2 linked regions of the Neurospora crassa OR74A genome follow. The protein of the gene in region 2 interacts with the protein of the main gene of each other region in a pairwise test. Links are inferred from orthologs where the notes say so. Each region holds a gene or a part of one and is shown on either strand. Other genes may lie near its edges.

Region 1 (4,579 bases), on a different chromosome or scaffold from region 2:
GGGAAGAAAAGAGTGATAGAGGTTGTGATTAAGGCGTCACAAACTTGTTCCTCCTTCATCTGTTCCCCAAGCCCAGGCAAAAGTCCATCGAATAACAGTCTTTGCGCTCCCCGCCAGCGTCCAATCTCCAAGATGATCGGTCGCCTGTTTTCTTCTCTCTCAACGGTAAGACGGTCCGATTGTCTGAGCAAAAAGCACGTACGCACACGAACACTCTTGCAACAAGCAGACGCACAATCACACCGGCACCTGCAATAGTGTCATGGTCTCATGTGCTCCCGCTGTCGCCATCATGTCGTTGCAGCCTTTCATCTTTTGTGTGTTTTGTTTCGCTCGAGTCATTGCTCCCGCCAATTTAGGCAGTGCCCTTGACCTTGGCCTCGATCTGGAGCGGGTGAGTACCCTTGACCCAGGGCTCGACCTGGACGTTCCACTGTTTTTGCGCCGTCTTGACCAGCTCCTTGTAGGCCTCGAGGTACTCGGCAGGGTCGACCTTGTCGCCCTCCTCCTTGCCAGAGGACTTCTTGCCCTCGGGCTTGAGCATCACCACCGAGGTGGCGCGCTTGGTGCAGGCGGCAACGCCGAGGTCGGCGCGCGAGCGAATGTACAGGTAGGGAACGCCGTGCTCCTCGCACAGAATGGGGAAGTGCATGATCACGTCCATGGGCGAGATGTCGCCGGCGATGATGACGAGGCCGGGAGCGTCGGCGGGAGGGGAGGCGGCGGTCCGGAGGGGGCACTTCTTGATGGCCTTCTCGCACTCTTTTACGCCGCGGTGGATGGACTTGAGCTTGGCGCCTGTTTGTTTTTTTTAATCAAAAGTTAGCTTGGGTTCAGTACAAGTCGTGCGTGGGCTGCGATTGAGGAGCCTGGCAATGCAATTGGAGAGTAGTCACAAAACGTACCCTTCTTGATCAACTTGTAAATCTTCTTGTGGGTCTTGTCGTCGGCGAGGGGAAGGGCAAAGGGGACGAGGTCCTCGGCGGTCTTGACGACATCCTCAGGGTCGACGGAACCCTCCTTCTCGAGGTGAGCCTCGACGGCCTTGGCGAGCTTCTCGGTCTTCTCCTTCTTCTCCTTCTTGTCCTTCTTCTCCTTCTTGACACCGGCCTCCTCGCTCATCTTCTTCTCCTTCTTGTCCTTCTTCTCGGACTTGTCCTTCTTCTCCTTGATCTTGTCGGTGGCACCCATCTTGTCGGATTAAATGTGTGTGTGTGTTGTTGTTGGTGGTGGTGGTTGGGTGTGTGTAGATAAAGTTGGTGGTGGAGGGGGATGGGGTATCAAACAGGAATTAAAGAATGGTTATACAGACAACCACTGCAGTAAAGAGAAAAAAAAGTTACTGGGTTGGGGCGTCAAGGTATTTGGTATCGTGATGGGGCGGTTGATCGCAGAAATGGATTCTTCAACGCAGATTTTACTGGGTCCATCAAGTGACCCAGTCAATCAAAGCAGAGCGACGCGACCAAAAATTTGTAGGCCAATTGTAAAGCCGTTCCGCCCGGGGGCCGATAATGCAGGTGAGCGCCTGGAATTGGGTGCGATAAGAGGGACCAATTTTCCGATAAGCACGCGATAAGAGGAAATGTCTTAAACTTCCACCTTTTGCTTGGTGGGGCTTTCCATTCAGTACGACAGGGATTAGTAGTAGTCTTGAACTTAAACAAGGCCTGCTTCTAGCCTGCCGCAAACTGGCAAACAGCGGCAGTGCTTTGTCCTTGAAGGCCGGTTGCTTGCCTGCCCCACTAAATTTCTAGAGCTTGTGATACCTACCTCCAAGCGCATTCAGTGTGAGCCATTGACTCACCTCGACAATTCACTGGCAAAAAGTCCACAATCCCAAGCGACATTGGCCCAGTTCTGGAAGCTATTGTTGGAGAACCTTTTTGCGACCAGCAGCCTTGTCATTCCCCCCCGCCTATATCGATTTCATAGATATCCGTCCAGTACCATTCGTAAAGACCATACAGCCTCGAGCAGGGAACAGTCGCACTCTCACTTCGACATCACCTCCACAATACCTCAGTAGCACACAGAGTACTATACACAGCTCATCGCCATGGCGTCGTCGCAAATGAGCTATGCCCCCACGTTGGGCAAGCTCCTCAAGTCTCTCAACACTCAGCCCTTGGAGGCTTCTATCGAGGCTCTTATTTAGTACGCCTACGCCTGCTTCATATCTATCTTATATCAGATCCTAACATGGTTGGGCAGCCTCCTAAAACGTCGCCAAGTCAAGGGCGATGATGTCGCCAATGCCACAGCCCATATGCTGCTCCAGGTCGTCGCCAAGTCTAAGTGGCAGAACGTCGATCAGCTGCTCGCAAAGGTCTCCAACACCGGCCACAGACTTGCCCAAGCTGCTCCCACTGAGCAAGTCATCGGCAACGTTGTCCGCCGAGTAATGGGTCTTATTCGTGATGAGGCTTCCGAGGACAGAAATGCCGACGAGATGGGCGACTCAGTATCCGACCTCTCCCAGCTGCCCACAACGCCCACCATTTCCACAAGGCCAGGCCCCACGCCCCTCCGCGCCGCGACTCTCCCCATGTCCAAGTCCATGTTCAACCTTCTCTGCGTCTCAGAGACCGCACAGTCACCAGTTACCGGCGCATCTACCCCCATGTCCCAGGGCGCATCTGCCAACATGCATGCCCTACGGTCCGAAGTTATCGATGGCATCGAAGAGATTATGGACGAGATCAGCCAGGCGGACGACCAGATTGCGGGTTTCGCGGACATCCAGATTCACCCCGGCGATTACGTGCTCGCCTACCTCCCCTCCCCAACAGTCGAGAGATTCCTCCTCAAAGCCGCAGCAAAGAGGAGGTTTACCGTGTTCATCGCCAGCGCTGAGCGTCAAAAACCCGGCGAGGTGCCCCATGCTGCCCTACGGAAGAAGCTCAACGGTCTCGGGGTCAACGCCATCAGCCTGGCTAGCAACGGCTTGATGGCCTATATGCCTAGGGTGAACAAGGTCGTTATCAGCGCCAAGGCCGTATATGCGAACGGCGGTATTTCCACAGAGAGTGGGTGCAGTACTGCTGCTAGGGCAGCGCAGGAGTACTCCAAGCCCGTTATCGTTCTAAGCGGTGTTTACAAGTTCTGCCCCGTAGATCCGTCGGACGATGGGACCGAGTTCGAGCAGGGAGATTCTTCGACGTATGTCGACTATGCCGACGGTGAGGCCGTCGATGCCCTCGAGGTAGAGAACATCGTGGGCGAGTACCTGCCACCCCAATACGTCGATGTATACCTAACAAACCTGTAAGCCCTGAACCCATAATTTTGATGACTGAAGAACCCCAACACTAACAACTTTACAGTGGCCCCCAAACACGAGATCATCTTGCCACCATCATGGCCGACCATTACAAGCTCGAAGATATGGGCTTGTCTTTGCATCTGCCTTAGAAGCCGAAGAGAAAAAAATGAAGAAAATAAAAAGACGCGGTTAATAATGTATCATGCTGCCGGTCCAATGCAATACTCGTTCAAATACCTCTCGACTGTTCCTGGTTCAACCTGGCCGACCAATATGCGTTCCGAAAATACAACATCGTGCGTTGCATATATGTCAACTGAAGAGTCATATCTGTACCCATAAACTTGTTTGTTCCTTATCATCGTGCATATTTCGGTAGTCCCGATGGCGAGGTTTTGCGGATTCACCGGACTCAGTAGCTTTGGACGCTGGCAGAGGCTTCGACGGGCATGGTTAGATGGGGTGAAGGGACAAGATGTGTCGCTTTTTCTTGCTGGGCCGCCATCGAACTTAAGGATCTAGATGAGTGCAGTACAGCATCACGTAAGGATATCGTATATAAGCAGGAATCGGGGCCTCCGCTGCGGACATCGGATGCTGTTATGTCGGACTTCATCTGCGCGCCGAAATATATTTCCCTGGAAAATACATCTCCCTGCACAGGGAGTCTGACAGATACTTAAACTTGCCCATCCATTCTCTTTCCACTCGAATTAATTCCCTCTCTTTTTCTCGTCATCCGTCTACGTACTCGGTTCCTCGCTCCTTAGGTCATTTATCCACGTAAATCAATACATCAACGGCTTGTCCTTACTTCACGATCCTTCAGACACCGATACTTGTCTATCGCGTCCCTTTCTTCGAGCGGGAGTCATTCTCCGTCTTCTCCAGCTCCTTTTTCATACCATCCACGTGACTGTTTGGGGCTACATCCTCACGGTCTACGCTCGAACGGCCTACACACGTACGGTCTATATACCTACACTACACACAACCACTGTTCAAGACTCCTACAGTGCAAATCCCCACGGGTCATTACCTCCGATCATGATCCCATAGTCTATCCATCTACGACCTACATACCTACCTACGATCCGTACACCGACGGTCCAAAAACCCACGACCATCGTCCACATAGCTCAACCCGTTACCTCCTCGGGGAATCCGCTCCAACCTCAAATCATACGCTCGCTCGGCCGGATCGCGATAATCCAACCAGTCAAAGTCAACTACCACCAAAATGTCACACGCACGCTCCTCGTTTTTATTTCAAGTCCTCTCCCTTTCCACCGACACCCCCACGACTTCTTTCAC
Region 2 (3,630 bases):
CTGCGCTCTCGCCTGGCCATCATCCCGCAGGACCCCGTCCTCTTCTCCGGCACCGTACGCTCCAACCTTGACCCGTTCAACCACCAGACCGATGCCGAGCTGCGCGAGTCCCTTGAGCGCGTTCACCTTGTCGGCGACAGTAATTCCAACTCCGGGAGCGCTTCTCCTGCACCAGAGGCCTCATCGTCTTCGGCCACCGGAGGCATCCAGAACAAGAACACCAACATCTTTCAGAATCTGGATTCCCAGATCTCCGAAGGCGGTCTCAACTTGTCTCAGGGCCAGCGCCAGCTCCTCTGCCTTGCGCGCGCCATCGTTTCGAGGCCGAGAGTTATGGTCCTGGACGAGGCCACCTCGGCGGTGGATATGCACACGGATGCGTTGATCCAGCGGTCTATTCGCGAGGAGTTCACTGATGCAACGCTGCTCGTTATTGCTCACCGTTTGAGCACGATTGCTGATTTTGATCGCATTTTGGTGCTGAGCGATGGCAAGGTTGCCGAGTTTGGAACGCCGAGGGAGCTGTGGGAAAAGGATGGTGGGAGTGGAGTGTTTAGGGGGATGTGTGAAGAGAGTGGTGAGAAGGAGAAGTTGAAGGATATCGTTTTTGCAAAATAAAAGGTTATGGGGGTGGAAGGGATGGATTTATGGTAACGAACGGACGAAAAACTGGACGAAATCCGTGGGATATTGGAATTTGGGAATAGAAAAGTACTGCGCCTGGGGAACATACATCCCTTGAGAGGTTTAAAAGAAGCCAGACTCACCGTATTGATATACTGAAAAAATAGATATATTGTTGGAGATTTGACGCTTTATGTCTGGACCAGACACTTGCAAACTTGCAGTTGTCGTCAGTGAAAGAACCGGTCTGCACAATCTAATGCCAGTTTGTTGATCGCAACTTAGTCCCATATTGCCTCAAACATCATGAGGACACATTGAGGTCATTAGGTATGGATGGGATATGCTTAAGAATTTGATCGGAAACGCACACATAAATTTTGACATCACATATCTGCAGTTGGGATATTTAAGCAAGCCAAGATAGTTCAGCTCTTGAATATGGAACGACACGTATTAATAGGATGAAAGGCCTAGGGAACTTGACCAGAGGTCTCGAGTTGACAAAGAGGCTAAGATTAAGACTACATCCGGTGTCGGTATTCTATCTCGATATCAACATCTCGGATAACCTCGATATCGGAAGTACAACCAATCGTCCATTCTGTCCCCAATCTTGATTTTCAAAACATTCGTCTTTAACCGGCGATTTTTTGTAAAAATCTAAAAATGCATGAAAAAAGACATATGCCACGTCCTGTTACAGAGTAATGACTGGTTGCCCATTCTTTGACCTGGACATATTCAACTATACACCGGAAGCGGTATGCCGAAATGGTGACCGACTCTTTTCTTGATAGTGACCTCATGACCCGCGGTTTTGAGTTGAGAGATAAGTCAGTTCCCACAATAGGCAAGGGACCGCCGATGTTACAGGGGCTTGCAGGGCAAAGCAAGAAGGTCTAAGAGATAAGATAACGAATAGGGCGGGGTGGCGGGGTAGCCGTCCTGCTAGCTTCCGCTCTTTCTCCGCTCTCCGGGGACCGCTGGTCGGCACGCCCCGTTGTCACCACCTACTCGCTGGTAGTCGGTCGGATGCGCTGTCTTTTGGCCGAAATCACCCCTGGGTAGGCTAAACAATGGTCTGGGGAACGGCCCGAGGTACTAAACAATGAAAGACCCGGGAGAATCTGGACGGAAAGGGGAGGAGGGATGAAAGGCGAGTTTGTACGATACACTTTTCCAGTCTTCAACTCGAGACACAATTTATGCCTACCTGTACCGACTTGGTGACGACTACAACACACAAAGTGCTCTTTCTCTCCTCAAATTCTCATTGATCAGCATCTTCCACCATCCAGCCATTCTTCTTCACACACAAAACAGAAGGCATCCCCAACCCCATAACCACTACACTTGGGTCACATTCACCACCACCATCACCACCACCATCACCAAAACAACCACACCATGGCGCCCCCAACACCACCCATCCTCAACGGCCACTCTGAAACCGTCATCGCCCAAACCTGCCAAACCTACAACCTAACCCCCTCCGAATTCGCCCAGCTGCGCGACCGCGCCGTAGCCGCCAAGGCCACCTCGTACAGTCCCTACAGCAAGTTCCGTGTCGGCGCCGTTTTGCTGTCCACCGGCAAGGTCAACGCCGCCGTCACGGGAGAGAGATCATCATCATCATCATCATCAGAGGGAACATACACGCCGGGAGCCAACGTGGAGAACGCCAGCTACCCCGTGACCACGTGCGCGGAGCGGGTGGCCTTCGGTAGGGCGATTACCGAGGGACACCGCGGGTTCAAGGCGGTGGCAGTGGCGACGGATATCAGCCCGCCTGCTAGTCCTTGTGGCATGTGTAGGCAGTTGTGAGTTCCCCTGATATCCATGCTACAGCTAGCTACGCCCTTTTCGGTGTTTCCTCTTTTTCTTTTCCTTTTTTTTTTTTTTTTTTTTTTTGTTTGTTTATTTTTTTTTCTTTCTTTCTTTCTTTCTGTTTGAAAGAGAAAAGGTGGAAGATAGATAGATATGCTTTGCTGACTGACCGGGCTTTTGCAAATTGATGCGTTATAGTATCCGCGAGTTTTGCGAATTGAGCATGCCTATTCTCATGTTTGATAAAGATGAGAATTTCAGTGTTTTGCGGCTTGAAGATGTGAGTTATTACCTTTTTCGTTCTTGCTTGTCCTTCGACCTTTGGCGTCTCGTGAGAGTTCAAAAAGGGGTTTCCTGACATTTTTTTTATATATCTAGCTTCTCCCATTGTCGTTTGGCCCTGATCAGATGGGTATTGAGGGCGCTGCTTAACTGTTTCCATATGATGGTCTCAGGGAAAGACACAGAAGGGTCTCACAATTATGTACCACTTGATCAACTTGGGTGTCAGGAACGGAGCGGAGCGGACAGTTCAGGGAGTCAGGGTCATGTAAACATAGGGGCAAAGCCCCATGTATTCTTTATCGCGCAGTTTTGAAGAGAATCATGGCATAATGAGCCCCAAAACCTGATCAACACAAATAGTATCAACCCCAGTGCCTGACGTACATTACTTCTATCCGACACGCAGTTTCGCTGTGTGGTCCTTCCAGCCTAGAGTAAGCTACTTAAGTCAGGAACTTGCCCAATTAAGAATCACGTCCGTACTATCTTAATGATTTGTCAACCCCAACAAGACAACCGCCATGCGATGAAAGAGAGAGAGAGACAACATGCAATGAATGGACCCAGGAAAAGATCCCACAAAAAAAAGAAACATGACTCCAGACAGCACCACCATACCCCAATAATCAGACTCATTTCGCCCTTTACCCTAATGCCCTTCAATATCCAAACCCATCATGTTGATGCATAGGACACCTGCCCGGGTGTCTCTCCCACCACGCACTTATACACGCTCTGTGAAACCTGCACAAACACTCCAACCTAGCCATGGCCACCCCAGGCTCAAACTCCTCCAGACAAATCGTGCACTCCGCCGAGTCCACGCAGTCTTTCTCCGTCGCCGTGTATGGAAACATGCCGGTCCGCCGTGGCGGTGCTGGTGGCAGTGAT

Evidence for each region.
Region 1: the proteins of NCU08359 (region 2) and NCU08952 interact in a two-hybrid assay, tested with the Saccharomyces cerevisiae proteins (2 studies listed by BioGRID). The link is inferred for Neurospora crassa OR74A from reciprocal best matches to the Saccharomyces cerevisiae genes CDD1 and GCD7.

The regions. Positions count from the first base shown.
Region 1 is NC_026505.1:5,799,251-5,803,829, forward strand, and holds NCU08952 (translation regulator GCD7), read left to right. Parts: upstream 1-1,724; 5' UTR 1,725-2,059; coding exon 2,060-2,157; intron 2,158-2,214; coding exon 2,215-3,267; intron 3,268-3,326; coding exon 3,327-3,414; 3' UTR 3,415-4,074; downstream 4,075-4,579. Other genes in the region: NCU08951 (ribosome biogenesis protein Nhp2), read right to left, coding at 356-798, 906-1,191; NCU08953 (hypothetical protein), read left to right, coding at 4,506-4,579. UniProt on the Saccharomyces cerevisiae protein: Acts as a component of the translation initiation factor 2B (eIF2B) complex, which catalyzes the exchange of GDP for GTP on the eukaryotic initiation factor 2 (eIF2) complex gamma subunit.
Region 2 is NC_026501.1:5,632,294-5,635,923, reverse strand, and holds NCU08359 (cytidine deaminase), read left to right. Parts: upstream 1-1,718; 5' UTR 1,719-2,034; coding exon 2,035-2,447; intron 2,448-2,652; coding exon 2,653-2,734; intron 2,735-2,832; coding exon 2,833-2,886; 3' UTR 2,887-3,107; downstream 3,108-3,630. Other genes in the region: NCU08358 (hypothetical protein), read left to right, coding at 1-618; NCU08360 (hypothetical protein), read right to left, coding at 3,399-3,630. UniProt on the Saccharomyces cerevisiae protein: This enzyme scavenges exogenous and endogenous cytidine and 2'-deoxycytidine for UMP synthesis.